Kluyveromyces lactis: one gene and its partner. The protein of the gene in region 1 binds, or shares a complex with, the protein of each later gene. Links are inferred from orthologs where the notes say so. Each region holds a gene or a part of one and is shown on either strand. Other genes may lie near its edges. The genes, in order: MRPL15 and MRPL20.

Evidence for each region.
Region 2: MRPL15 (region 1) and MRPL20 share a complex: the UniProt entries of both Saccharomyces cerevisiae proteins name them as parts of the mitochondrial large ribosomal subunit. The link is inferred for Kluyveromyces lactis from reciprocal best matches to the Saccharomyces cerevisiae genes MRPL15 and MRPL20.

The regions. Positions count from the first base shown.
Region 1 is NC_006039.1:1,526,028-1,533,730, forward strand, and holds MRPL15 (mitochondrial 54S ribosomal protein mL57), read right to left. Parts: upstream 3,269-7,703; coding exon 2,543-3,268; downstream 1-2,542. Other genes in the region: KLLA0_C17380g (uncharacterized protein), read left to right, coding at 1-2,048; RNA-dependent ATPase ROK1, read left to right, coding at 3,914-5,653; ATP20 (F1F0 ATP synthase subunit g), read right to left, coding at 5,951-6,310; DUR3 (Dur3p), read right to left, coding at 6,741-7,703. UniProt on the Saccharomyces cerevisiae protein: Component of the mitochondrial ribosome (mitoribosome), a dedicated translation machinery responsible for the synthesis of mitochondrial genome-encoded proteins, including at least some of the essential transmembrane subunits of the mitochondrial respiratory chain.
Region 2 is NC_006037.1:688,826-696,501, forward strand, and holds MRPL20 (mitochondrial 54S ribosomal protein mL58), read left to right. Parts: upstream 1-3,780; coding exon 3,781-4,374; downstream 4,375-7,676. Other genes in the region: DEAH-box RNA helicase PRP16, read right to left, coding at 31-3,225; KLLA0_A07777g (uncharacterized protein), read right to left, coding at 4,598-5,086; ribosome dissociation factor GTPase HBS1, read left to right, coding at 5,483-5,738, 6,054-7,676. UniProt on the Saccharomyces cerevisiae protein: Component of the mitochondrial ribosome (mitoribosome), a dedicated translation machinery responsible for the synthesis of mitochondrial genome-encoded proteins, including at least some of the essential transmembrane subunits of the mitochondrial respiratory chain.

The DNA of each region.
Region 1 (7,703 bases):
GTAAATCAGGGAAGGATGCTGCCTATTGGAAATCAAAGTATGAAGACGCTTTTGCTGAAAAACCTGTCAGAACAAGCTCTTCTTCTATGGCCCCCATTTCAAACAAGCAACTTTTCCCTGAAACTAGTATAATACCGTCAAATCTCATCGACGACTTGGATTCCAAGTTATCACAAATACTAAGCCTCATTGTGTCACCTGAACCTCCAGTTTTGTTTTTATTCGAGAACATTGCTTCCATTTCAGAATATTGTTCAAAAATTTTAACTTTAGTTCACTCCCCAGATACAAAGACCATGAGACTAGTGTTAGAGAACACAATATCACATGCTATCACATCTGTGCGTTACTTCAGCAGCTATAAAACTCCATTATCAAGAGTTATTCTTGAAAATTCTGTTTCAGAAATCTCATTTGCAATCTATGATTTGGTTAAGACGGTAAATGGCGGATCCAATAACGATGAAATATTCACATCAAATAAATCTGGTGATCAACTGGATAGTCCACTTGGCCTCTCCATGCAAAATAGACAAACCTCGAATAACTTTGCTAAAGGTTTACACGAGGGAAGTGTTTTAGACAAACCATCACTTCTTCCTTCTCGGGCTGATAGCGTTGAAATGTCTCCGGTCAAACCTTTGAAAATTACCCAGAAAAAAAATACCGACGACGCGTCATCAAGGCCTGTTTCAGTTAGAAAGCCCTCTGGAACTGGCTTATTTACAGCAATGCTTAATGGGGGTATGAAGAAAGATAACGCATCAAAGAAATCCAAGAATATATTGCAGTTAGAATTACCTCTGGATAACAATTCCAAATCGGAAAGCAATGCTCCTATAATCGAACGCAGAGAATTGAAGACCATTGATGCAATTAAGTCTGCTTCAGCCAGCAATTCACTTCTACCTACTTCGCCACTTGCCAAAAAATCATCAGCAGTTGTTCCTTCTGACTTTAAAGACCCAAATCCTTTTGAGTTATCATCTCCAGAAAAGGGAAAGCTATTGCAAAATATTAATTCTGACATATACAACAGCAATGATGAAGAAACTGAAAGCGAAAGTGTAGAGGAGGAGGACGATGGGAATTCTACATATGAAGTGTTAAGACAAACCATGAAGCAAAAGCATCTACAAGAAGAAAACGGAACCAACGAAGAAAAAAATTTGAAAGGAATTTTTTCGCCAGTGGTACATCCACAACCTATTGAAGTTTCAACAGAGGATGTCGACTTAAATGAGAAGTCATTCAATTTTGAATCTGAAGAAAATGCTAAATCTGAATCTGAATCTGTACCTTCGATAACTGTAAACAAAAAGAATATAAAACTCGTTCCTATCCCTGCCGTTACTCCAACTTTGAAACAAAAAGAGCCATCCCCATCACCTACTGCCGAATTGGTTATTTCTCCATTAAGGCCTATAGTAACTGCTTCTGATAATTCAAAAGTTAATGACGATCAGAAGGCCGTCGATGCCAACAAAAGCGAGTCAGAAACTAAAGAAATCGCAGAACAATCAGAAACTGGTGAAACTGACGACGACATTGAATTTGACGTTGATGCGTTTGACATTGAAAATCCTGACAATAGTCTTTCTGACTTATTGCTATACCTAGAATATCAGACAATGGATGTTATAAACACAATTCAATCGTTATTGAGCAGTATTAAGTTACCTAAATCCACTGCTGGAGAACTAAGAACCGAATCAAATGCTATCAATCAAGTAATAAGGCAAATGGTGGAAGCTACAAGTGTTTCCATGAACCAAAGCCGTAATTCTCAATTGAAAGAACATGGTTCATGGGTTGTTCAGAGTTTAGATGACTGTCGTCGTAGAATGACCATACTTTGTCATCTTAAACCAGACGGTATTGTAGTAGCGCACGAGGGGGACGAAGAGTTCGCAGATAAGCATTTCAAACAACGTTTAGCTGGTATTGCATTTGATGTAGCAAAGTGTACCAAAGAATTGGTAAAGACTGTGGAAGAAGCTAGTCTTAAGACCAACATTGAGTATTTAAATGCTAAGCTTTCCAAGTAAATTACCAGCAAAAAACATCCCTTCTATGAAGTTATATATGTATTTATATACATGTATTGTATTATGTACTTTTCTTAATCTGTTTTTATTTTGTATGTTAACATTTAATTAATGATAGATTTAGTTGTAAATTTATGTACGTCTATATTTCTAGAGATACATGAGATATATACAGTGCGCGCGTTTCTTTCGAGGTTCATTTTTAATTGAAGTGTGACGATGGAGTGTCGTTAAAAGGTTATGCTTTTCATGCTTTTGGTAAATTCATTATAATAAAACGTTGAAATTGAGCAGGGATGAAAGAGTAGATTAAAACACCACATTGACCAAGAGCTGTGATTGAAACTTCCGTTTCGAAATATATATATACAAGTTTTGAAAGCTCTTTCCCAACTCCGATGGAGACCATTCACTCGAGTGCTTTTTATTGATGTCGAAGTCTATTGTGTATTCCATTTCTCTTTCTTTCCTGTCGTGTAAAATTAGACATAATATTATAACTTCTCGGTCGTATCCCTGTTTGCTAACAAACTTTCAGATATCTTCGTTAGGGAATCACTATTGTCGCTGAATAGTTCATGCAACACGTATTCGGTGGCCTTGTCTTGACCGTGCAATAGATAGACACTGCCGACCACAGAATTTAGCACAGTTTGTAGCACGGTATACTCACCGTTATATTTGTGACTTTTTTGAGTGTCTCGTTTGTTCCAAAACACTAATTTATCTAGGTTTCTCCTTTGCAAAAATTCAGCCGTACTCTGTTTGGATATTAACATTTTAGAACTTCCCTTCCCAAGCATACCGAAATTTAGTCCGTTAATAACAGGTTCAGACTGTACGCTTTGTGATAGTTGCCTTTCAGAAACAGGTAGACCCAAGGAATGAAGACAAGCTTGATATTTCACAAAATGACCACCGATAATAGACAATTTCTGATTGTATGGTTTAATACCTTGGGCAAACGACTTGTGAGTCAAACATTGTGTAATGATGTCGTCTGGCAAGTCAATACCATATTTTTCCAAATTCAAACCTTGCTTAACAGTAGATACATGGCCATCCTTGACAAGAGAATCATAGTGCAAACCGTGTGGATTCTTCAAAGACTCAACTGGGTCTCTTTTCAAACCACGTACCCTAGTCCCAACGTGTAGATAAGAACCATTACGCACGCCGAATTTTGTGCTTAAGTTAAGACCAATTTTGGTTAAGGACATTATTCCAGAAGTAAAAAAATACTGTCTGAATGGTTTCTGTCTGGTATTTTCACAATTCAATCTTCCTCGACCGAATATCAACAGATTGTAATTACACAGGACACAAATATTAGAATTATTGAATCTTAATTCTAACAGTTTAGTCCTTTTAACTACGATTCAAACTGTTTCTTTGTAGTTTTTCGACTCGAGGCAGCGATCCAAATTTTGAAATTTTTCAAAATTTTTCAGATCACTCCAAACGAGGTCATCGCTGTGTCTAAGTGCTATCTTGTATGATGGGAATACATGCAATATCAAGGCATTAGGTACTGTTATCAAGGGAATATGGTCATTATGGGCTGGTATTATGAGGGCTTAATACCAGCTGTATCTTAAAGTAAGCTTTGCTGCATCTTTATGCCTTGAGAAGTACTTTTATATCGATTTTTACACTTATTGTACCCTAAGTTTTGTGAAAAGAAACGCTTCAGTAAGATCAATTTTAATTGAAAAAACTGCAATTAGATGTAGGCGATGAGATGAGATGAGATGAGATGAGAGAGTAGTAAGAGATTGATTATATCACTCACAGTGGTTTACTATCGAATTTATTCTCATTACTAAGTAACTTCTCACAGGCCAATACTAGCACCGCTAATTAACATGGATATCTTTAGAGTCTTGACTCGTGGAGCTAGCATAAGGAAGAATGGTGATTCTAATAGAACACAGTCTGCAGACTTTAGCATGGCTAATGAAAAGAAGAGTAAGACAGCTGGCAGCTCAAGTACACCAGCTAGAGATGAACAACAATTGACTAAGGAGTTGGATTTTTTCCGTAATAAGAAAATCATGAATAAGGTAAAGTCTGAGTCAACCAAAGGTGAAGGTGAAGACGAAGTACAAGAAGATAATCAAGAAGAAGACGAAGATCATGCTGATGACGAGACTGAGTTATCCGGGAAAATTATCACGAAACAAGATGCGTTAAAGTTACGTAAATCTTATCAAGGGAATGTTTCAGGGAATAGTGTTCCTTTGCCCATCGGTTCTTTTGAAGACTTGATCACAAGGTTCCAATTCGATAAGAGATTGTTAAACAACCTCATAGAAAATAACTTCACTGAACCAACTCCGATTCAAAGTGAATCTATACCGATTTTGTTGCATGAACGTGACATGATCGCTTGTGCTCCCACAGGTTCTGGTAAAACGTTGGCATTTTTGATCCCACTACTGCAACAGATAATCAACGATAAAACCACAGTTGGTCTTAAAGGTTTAATTATATCCCCAACAAAAGAACTTGCGAACCAGATCTTCATCGAATGTTCCAAATTAGCGAACAAGATATACTTGGACAAGAAAAGACCTCTGCAAGTTGCCCTACTTTCAAAATCATTAAGCTCAAAATTAAAGAATAAAGTTATCAGTGAGGACAAGTACGATATTATCATTTCTACTCCCTTGAGATTGATTACTGTGGTTCAGGAAGAAGCCTTGAATTTGGGTAAAGTGAAACATTTAATATTTGATGAAGCGGATAAATTATTCGACAAGACATTTGTGGAACAAACTGATGATATCTTGAGTTCATGTACTGATCCACATCTCCGTAAAACAATGTTCTCTGCCACTATACCATCCAACGTGGAGGAAATCGCCCAAACCATCATGAACGATCCTATCAGAGTCATTATCGGTCACAAAGAAGCAGCAAATATCAACATTGATCAACAATTAGTATTCTGTGGTAACGAGGAAGGTAAACTTATAGCCATCAGGCAATTGGTTCTTGAAGGTGAATTCAAACCTCCAGTAATCATCTTTTTGGAATCTATTACAAGAGCCAAGGCATTGTTCCATGAATTGCTATATGACAAGTTGAATGTGGACGTGATCCATGCCGAAAGAACTCAAGTTCAAAGAGATAAAATTATCGAAAGATTCAAGTCTGGAGACCTTTGGTGTTTGATCTGTACCGATGTGTTGGCTCGTGGTGTCGACTTCAAAGGTGTGAATCTGGTCATCAATTATGATGTTCCTAGATCAGCTCAGGCGTATGTGCATAGAATCGGTAGAACAGGTAGAGGTGGTAGATCCGGTAAAGCCATTACTTTTTACACGAAACAAGATTCTTTGGCAATTAAACCAATAATAAACGTGATGAAGCAAAGTGGATGTGAAGTCTCAGAGTGGATGCAAAAGATTTCTTCCATGTCCAAAAGAGAGAAGGAATCATTGAAAAAGGGTAAGGGTCATGTGGAGAGGAAACAAATCAGTACTGTTCCTAAGGTTGTAAAACAAAAAAAGAGACAAAGAAGAGAAATGATCGAAGCTTCAAAGAAACGGAAACTCTCTGTATCGGATGCCGAGGAAGAAGCTGGCAACGATTCGACCTAACCTCAGGATAACCCCTGTTGCTTATTTCCAATATCAAATGTTCGAATTAAGTCATGATGATATACATATAATTAAAGCGTCGCAGAATCCGTATGTATATTACATATAGACGATACATATATATAGTCTTTTAACACTTCATCTGGGAAACCAGAGTAAAAGTCGCTTTATTTTTAGGTTGTTTTTTTCTTGGCTGGAAATGAATATAGTGTTGTTTGTAGTTGTTAAAATTTCGTTCGTATGTTACTGAATATGCTTTTAAAATTGATACGGTCGGCCTCTCAATCAATTCCATTTTTAGTGGTGAGTAGAGTAGTTACGGTAACCAACAACCTTTCTTCTACCGATAATTTCACCCAATGAGTATAAACCTAACAATTGCACGCCGAAAGCACCGATCTTAACGGCTTGGTCCTTTTCAATGTTCTTCAACAAGTTAACAACTTGTTGAGGCTTATCAGCATAACCCAAAGCTTGTCTGTACAATCTGGTGTAGACCATTTCAAAGTCCGAGAAGTTTGGTGGCTGTAGACCTTCCTTAGTGTAGACCTGCTTGGATAATTCAGCAGTAACCTTACCGTAGTAAACGGTCTTGGTCAACAGTGATTGTGTCTTGTGTGTCAAAGAAGAAACTAAAGATTGGACTCTGGAAATCATTGCTGCTCGACTTTTATCTATTGAATACACTAAACCAACCAAGCTAGAAGTGTGAGACCTTGTAATCTTCTATCAATTGACTCTTGACTTGATGCTTTAGTTCGATATCTCTTCATGTTTGGTTCAATTCAATGAAAATTTTGAGGGAAAAGATCAACAGTATTACCCGGACATTTGAAATATCCGGCCAATCATATTTGAGAACCGTTGACTTAAACGTAAGTGAAGAGTACTTCACTTCTTGTAAAGCTTATGAATAGCGGTGGTTTACTCCATGGCTGGTCTGTATGCCTTATGGGTTTCTGTTAAGGTTACTGTGACCCCGTTTTACCCTGGCCATTGATGTCTTTAAGAGTTATTATCATAATTAAAAGAATTAAGATGGTTTATGGATGACTATATGAGAAAAACTATAAGGTGATGACTTCCATCAACGTTCGATAACATCGTCCAAGTTTTGCCTCACTTTACTTTTGTTAGTTTCCGATCTGATTGATTCGATCTTTGCTATGATTTGAGATTGCACAGCTTTCATTTCCCGTGGGTTAGCATCTTGCCATTCCCTTAATTTGTAGGTTTGACCCGATAGATCCCAGTATATACCTCTTACCGTGGTATATATGCCGTGTCTTCCTTCCCATAGTGGGTAACAGCACACACAGAATGCAGTGAAGAAGATCCAAATGATTAGGACACAGACCCAACCGGTAAAGAACTTTTCAGAGAAGATGTATCCGGTACCATACATTGGCATTGGCCATAGGACCATAAATGAAATAGCGAAAAAGATGGCCAAATATCCAGCAATCTTACTAGCTCTGCTTAGATACTGACTCTCTTCTTCAGCCATTCTTTCAATGGTTTCTCTTGGGATTTCGTCTACAGTTGTTATCACGGTTTTCACAGCTTGCAATTTCTCGGCATCTTGATTGTTACCAACACTGTCAGAATCAGAGACAGAGACTTCGTTTCCCTCGGCTTCAAGTAACTCTTCTTCTTCATCAGCTCTGGTAATGGTCTTAAGGATCTCCCAGTCGAAATTTTGTGGTTTGAAGATGTAAGTCAACAATGGTATCGTAATCAATGGTGATAATAGAGCAACAATGTTACCAGTTAGCATTGGATCATCTTCAAAAGTGGTACTGACGGTGATTTCACCGTATAAGGATTTGGTGCATACTAACCAGGACATAATTGCAAGACTTGTTCCGATAATTGGCGATGCTACCACTGCTACTAAGTTTTGGGCATCCCAAAACAATGATAGCGCACAAGGGATCACTGCAGATGAAATAATGATACCCATTAACTCGTAAAGATAACCCATACTGATTCCTGCGTAATACAAACCGGTAGCGAAACCACTCATAATTAAACCAAATACGATACAACT
Region 2 (7,676 bases), on another chromosome or scaffold:
CGTCGGTCGGTCAATTATTAATATATACTACTAGAAAGGTCTTCTTCTTTTTATTCCAATCCTAACCGCAGGCTGTTCCTGACGTTCATTGGTTGTCCTTCTCATTTCTATACTGTTCGTCTTATTTAAAGCAGCAGAAGATTTGTCGGTTTCTAGACGTTCCAATTTATCCTTTGCATTAAGCCTTAGTTTCTCAATTTGAAGATCAATTTTGTCCTGGTGGTCCTGATCATCGTTATTCAGAGAAGAGTTTAGTCCGAACTGATAGGATTGTTCTTTTCGTCTCTTTATATGATAGAAAATACCACTGTATTCCATCAACCATAATGGGTCGACAGCTGTCACGACATTTATATATTCCTTTGTAGTCATCAAAAGTTCATGATAGACGACATACGCTGGAAGGTCACCAAGACCAAATAAAGCACTTGTTGGATGTACTTTGAGATCCATCCCTGTTTTTAAATGAACATATTTGCCTAACCCTGATAGTTTGGCAGTCTGTTGGATGTAACCGGTGCATAGACATTTTCTTATTGGAGCCCAGTCTGACCCAGAAGAAGCCATCGGTAAATTCAATTTTCTTATCACATAGAGTAACTGTTCTCGAATGTCTTTAGCTCTTTGGAGAGATCTGAATTGTAAGAAGCGTGAATTACACCAATGGGCAGAATATCTGTTGGCTTTCCATTGAGCATACACGTTAAGTAGGGTCAAATGATCTGATTCAGGGATGAAAAACCGGCTTCTGGCTTGGTCAGATTCTTCTTCACGTTCCTTCGGCCTATAGAAGACAGACGGAACCGAAAGCATAGATACAATCGTTAACATCTCTTCGGTACAGCCATATTGTGATGCACTTATTAGTACCCTGGAAAGAAAGGGCTGTAAAGGGAAGGCACCCATCAGTCTGCCTAATTTAGTTAGATGACCGAAGTTGTCCAAAGCTTCTAAGGCCCAAAGATCGTACAACGATGTCATTAGATTCTGCGATGGCGGTGGATCAATGAAAGGGAATTTCGATAAGTTGTTGATATTCAACGATTTCAACTGCAAGAGTGTATTTGCCAAATTTGTCCTTTGAATTTCTGGGATGGCCTGAGGATACATATCTTCCATCGCTGAATCATGAGTGAAAAGTCTATATGCGATACCAGGGCCCGTACGACCAGCCCTTCCTGACCGTTGATTAGCATTTGCAAGTGAGATGGGTGTGATTCGCAAACTATCAAGGCCGATTTTCGGATTATACACCTTCAATTTGGAGTACCCACAATCTATGACATATTTAATACCGTCAACTGTCAATGATGTTTCAGCAATATTTGTGGCAACAACAATCTTTCTAACGTTTTGTTCTTGTCTTTGAAATATCCTTCCTTGTACATCTGCAGGTAACGACGAGTAAATTGGAAGAACTTGAACATCCGCTAATTGCTCCTCATAATTTGCCCCGTATTTTTTAGTATAGATCTCAGTTAAGCGTTCGATGATGGTAGAACAAGTTGCTTCAATATCTTCTTGACCAGTCATAAATATCAAGATATCTCCATTTGAAATTGGTGTAGATAAATGTATATCTAAAGCTTTTTGAACAGCAGATTCAACGTAATCAGGTACTGGATGGTTAGTGTAAATGATTTCGACGGGGAAAGTTTTTCCCGGTATGAAATATTGTGGCGCATTACCAAAGAATTGGGAGAACTTATCTGCATTCATTGTTGCCGATGTCACGACAAGTTTTAAATCGTGTCTTCGAGCTAATAATGTTTTGAAGATCCCTAGGAGCACATCGGTGTTCAAAGATCGTTCATGAGCTTCGTCCATTATAATACATGAATATTTCTCAAGCAACGGATCTATCATTGCCTCCCTAAGGAGTATACCGTCGGTCATAAACTTGATTTTTGTTGAATCCGAAGTCTGATCTTCGAATCTGATTGAGTATCCAACTTTAACACCAATTGGGGTATCCATTTCTTTGGAAACTCTTTCAGCAACCGATACAGCTGCTACTCTTCTTGGCTGTGTACATCCAATCATTCTACCATTTGCAGTGAAACCGTCTTCGTAGAGGAATTGTGCTAATTGTGTTGTTTTACCTGAACCCGTTTCACCAATAACCACAGTAATCTGGTTATCTCTAATATGGCGCATTAAGTCGTGTCGTACTTTATAAGCGGGTAAAGACCTTCTCACTGCTTGTATTTCTTCAAAGCTCTGCTCTTTTTCTTTTATAGCAATGGGCTGATTAGGTTGCTTAGTTTGCGCGTCAGTTGAACTATCTTGTTTTACTCCTAGAACTTTACCTAAGGCGCTACCTTTTAGCTCGGTAGCGTTCTGAGATTTAGATTTTCTATCTCTATGAATCCTCCTCATCGCTACAAGCTTGCTGCCTCTCCTTGCATTAATAGAAAAGTCGCTCTCAGGGTTTCTTATCGGATCTGCTATTCCCTTATTTGCATTTGAAGACATATCCAAAGCACCCACTATCGCAAGCTCTCCTGACTGGTCATGGAAATCAAGTAAAAACGGAGGAATAATGGTTTTACGCTCATTCAACGATAAGGAAGTTAATTGGATTTCAGGTTCATTCAAGTCAAGCTCTCTGTCGCCGCCTTCGTACGGATCTTGCTGAGCTGGTATATATTCATCATCGTGAATGACGTTATCAAAATCATCATCATTATCGTACCAATTTCTATCTTGTGCAGTAAAATCCTTGGCGTCCTTTATATCTTCCACATCACTACCTTCTGCATCGATAAGTGTGCCTTTGGTCGCTTCTTCTTTTTTTACCATGACCACTGGTTCAGTGTTTTCTGAAAACTCATTCAATTTTGCTGCAGTTTGCTTCGTAATACGTTTCAAAGTCAAAGGCTTGTTGAATTTTGGTTTCACTTGTACCTTCACAGTAGAAAGCTCATCTTCATCGTCGTCTTCCTTGTCATCCAACGGAAGTTTAACCACAAATTTTTTCCTTATGGTTCTTGCTGGAACAGCCGCTGATTCTGGCTTTGGAGACTGCTTATGTGCCTGTAATTTTTCAAAAAGTTGCTTCAAAAACTCATCTTTGCCCTTAAATTTCCCCAAAGCCTTAGCACCCCCGATGAACTTGTTTACATCCTTATGAATACGTGCAATCTGCCTTAAAGTCTCAACAAACTTCTCTGTCACTCTTGATTCCGTATTCTGTTGAATCCATTCTTGAAGTTCTGCATTCATCTAATTCTGTTGCTTGGTAAACCTACCACCTGGCGTAAAACCTGATGAGACAGAGCTGCTAATGAAGTATCACAAGGACTGTTTATGCCATTATTCTTGTCCCATCTCATAGCCTTTCAGCTCTTCCTGTTGTGAATAGGAACGACATTTGATGTTGATGTTGGGATTACCCGGCTTTCACGTGACAAAAGATACAGAATAGTCCAAATTGGCACTTCTAAAAGCTGCATAATATCGCCAATATAAGCCCTATTTTAACAGGTCAGCTCACACTCATTCATAGTACTAATCGATATTATATAGAAGCATCTTCAGGTAGGTATATCCACTAGAATAATCCTATATTTCTCGAAATAAACTGTTTTCCCATACTAATCCTGTCTGTCTCATCAGGATTTCTATCTGAAAAATTTGAAAGCATCAAACTGAAAGATTTAGAGTCTGCAGTGCGAAACATGGTGATTGATAGTTTAAATAACAAGTTTTAGACCCTTACACCAGGCTTATAATCCCCAATTACGCTGTAGAAATTACATTTGACATATTCGCTACAGTATGGTGAGACTATTTTCGACCAGCGCCCGTGCGGCCAAGGATCTTTCAAAGATAATTGATAAATCAGGTAAGTTACCTAAGATCGTTGGACCAGCTACCATTTACAATCCAAAATCATCTGCCTCCAATTACAAAGGTTATTTGAAAGCCAAGATTCCAGCAGGTCTATATTACGATCCAGCTCCATCCTCTATCCATGGTTCTACTAACTCAGAAACGATTCCAAAATCTTTCTTACCGGCCACTGATCCAAGGCACGACATTATAGATGACCTAACGCAAGGTAACGCAGAGATATCGAGGGTAGCGCCAGTGTTACATGAGAAGGGTGAGAAGACCTACCATTTGAAGCCTGAAGACATCGCTGAGATTAGAAGACTAAGACTGGAGGACCCGGTGAAAAACTCTAGAAAAGCTTTAGCAAAGAAGTTCAACTGTTCTCCGTTGTTCATCTCTATTGTTTCTGAACCACCCAAGGAAAGAAAGACAGAAATGAATCAAGTTCTTGAGACGATAAAGAGCCAATGGCATCCTAAGAGAGCATTGGCCAGAGCCGAAAGAAAAAAGAGAAAGGAACTCTGGTACAGAGCATGAGAAAAGGTAAAAGAAAACAACATACTGTATATCTGTAAATAGTAATAAGATAACCATCGACCTTATGTTTCAATCGTTAGTCATCAACTCTATTAAATGGCTTATAACATCTATATATATGCATGTAATATAATACAATGGAAGACGTGCAAAAATTAGTGTCTATCTCAATAAGTTACAGCTGGGGTCATTATCGTTAGGAAAAAATGATACATTAGTACCACTAATACCCATCGTACATCTCTTGGAAAATTTCGTACTCATCTCGGATTCTCAGGATTATATCTTCGAATAACTGCATCTGATACGCATCTTTTATTTGTAGTTCCAATGCAATCTGATGCCTATGCTGTCCCTCGCACAACATTGCTATCTGATACCATTTCTCCCTCCGCTGCAATACCGTATGCAGCTCCTTCAGATTCGATATCACCTGCGTCTCACAGAACAACCTCTCGTCGCTGTTTATATCCTCTTTATCAACTCCGTCCTCTTTATCCGAAACGAATCGAAACCTGTACAGCGACGGTTGCATCATCGTCGACTGATTGGACCCATCCAAATGCAAAAGCTCGTCTACTATAAGCTTCCCCTTCCATAGCAAATGCTGGGGTTCCCACGCTCTTGCAATGCTTCGCGGTACGATATTATACAAAACACAACTCTGTATCACTCGTTGATGCGTTGTCAGCACATTCTCCGGAACTGTCATCCGAAAACGTATCGGCTATATCACTTCTGTTCTCTTCAAAATATTACCTAGGAAATTCAACTCGTTCACCTGTTAAATCACCTACCGGGAATTACCTTCTTGACCAAAAAAAGAATGTACTAATGGACAAACTGCACTGTTTACAACTCACTTCATGCTATCGATAACAACTCATCTCATCTCATCGATAAAGAGATTGCATGTCGACGCAGCAACTGATAAAGAAATTTTTAAAGTCACGTGACAAGTATCAACAGTTTCTGAAAAAATCTGAAAATCTCAATTACAAAAGGTTTCTAATCGCAAGCAATTCTCTTGTTATTCGGTTCAACCTGCATTTAAACTCGAATTATACCGTCTATTGCCTGATTCTCTGACTAAGCGAAGCAGTTTATTATGTCTAAGTTTTATGACGATGATGACGCTGTGGATTATGACGACGATGTACCTGATTTCCAGGACGAGGATGAATTTGACGATTATTTAAACGATGAAGAATTTGAATTGATGAACCAGTTGTTTCCCCTGGCGAAGGAGCAATTAGCTGATTATCAGGGTTGGGATAACTTGGCCGTGAAAGTTGCGATTTTTGATCACAATTTCGAGTTAGAACCTGCATTGGTCGATTTAAAGAGAAGATTCAAGAAAAAGGGTATGTATAATTGGCATTGGACGTGGCGGTGTTTTATATTTTTACGTGTTTTCAGTTATGATTTCTTGTTGGTTCTTCCATGGTAAACAAAATTGGTACTAGGGGGGTCTGCCTATCTTGTATTTTATCTTCTTTGTGGACGGGAAGAGGGTTATGATATATTGTACTAACGGAGCTGGACATGTCGATTGATCATGATGGTCGTGAACGTGGTGCTTATTTGTGTTTCGGACGGGCAGCAGAAGAAAAAACAATTGACTTGATTGAACAGCGTGTATTGTATTGCATCTCTAATGAGCTATATGACTAACTAAGTATCATTTATTTGTTTGTTTGCAGAACAGAAAGTGGAAAAGAAACTATCGGCCTTAGAATTACTGGCTAGGAAACGTGCAGAAGCAAGGAATAAGGCTTCAACAATGGCACCTGCAACAACTAAGGTTTCTCTTCTGGACAAACTCAAGAACGGAGGTGGTAATGGACAAAATGGTAATCCTGTAAAAACAACTGTATCCGTAGCTAGTCGATTGCAATCACTTAAAAGGGGACCCATTACTACTGACAATAACAGTAACGGCGCTGCAACTGCATCCTTTTCACAACCGAAAACTCACACATTGGCATCAAAATTGGCATCACTCAGGAAAAGTAAACCTGAGGGACAGATTATAGAGAAACCCGAAGCGGAAGAAACGAACGTAGAGGTGGTCATCGAAGAAAATAAGATAGATCATGAAAAGAAAGATAAGGATGACCCATGGGTCATACTTAACCAATTGAAAGATTCAGCATATGTCAGTAATATAAACGAAATTCTGGCAATCAACAAGGTACCGTTATATTCTGGCATCTTGGAGAAACTAGAGTTTAATTCAACAACCACGAAAAGGAAACACGAAGAACTGTTTTCAGTCTATTATCCAAATACTAACAATAGAGTAGTTAAAAAACAAGCAATTGCTAACTTTAGCAAGCCATCTCCGGATGATGTCGTAATAAACCAACAAAAGGCAGCATTCGAGGTGGATAAAATTAAAGAAAAGGTCGCTGATTTATCTATACAAGATAAACAAAGTTCAAAAACTGTTGAAAAAGAAGAGGATATCAATGACGATGACGATGATGATGAGAAGTTACCTTTTGAAGAGCCTGTTGTGAAGACTTACAAGAAGGTGAGTGTTCCTACAAAACCTAAAAATGCAATCAATATTTCTTCCTACCTCGACAACAAGAAACCTCATTTGAATTTTGTAGTTCTAGGTCACGTTGATGCAGGAAAATCCACATTGATGGGACGTCTACTATACGACGTTGGTGCTGTTGATACAAAATTGATTCGTAAGTTGCAAAAGGAAAGTGAAATGATTGGCAAGTCCTCATTCCATCTTGCTTGGGTCATGGATCAAACTTCAGAGGAAAGAAATAGGGGTGTTACCGTTGACATTTGTACTAGTGATTTTGCCACTACTAAAAGTTCGTTCACCATTGTTGATGCTCCTGGTCATAGAGATTTTGTTCCAAATGCAATTGTTGGGATTTCACAGGCTGATGTCGCTGTTCTTTCAGTAGACTGTGGAACCGATGCATTTGAATCAGGTTTTAACCTTGATGGTCAGACTAAAGAACACGCATTGCTAGCCAGAAGTCTCGGAATTAAACATATCGTTGTTGCCATGAATAAAATGGACTCTGTATCGTGGTACGAAGGTAGATTTAACGACATTAGATCAGAATTGGCTGTTTTCTTCGAAGAAATCGGTTTCAAAGGTAACGATGTAAGCTGGGTTCCATGCAGCGGGTTAAGTGGTGAGGGTATCTTCAAAACCCCATATCCGCCATCTCAAACTTGGTATCAGGGACCAAGTCTCGTTGGGGAACTTGAAAATGTTGCTTTGAAGCTAGCATGTGTTGATGAAAGTGTTACCAAAGAGCCTTTCC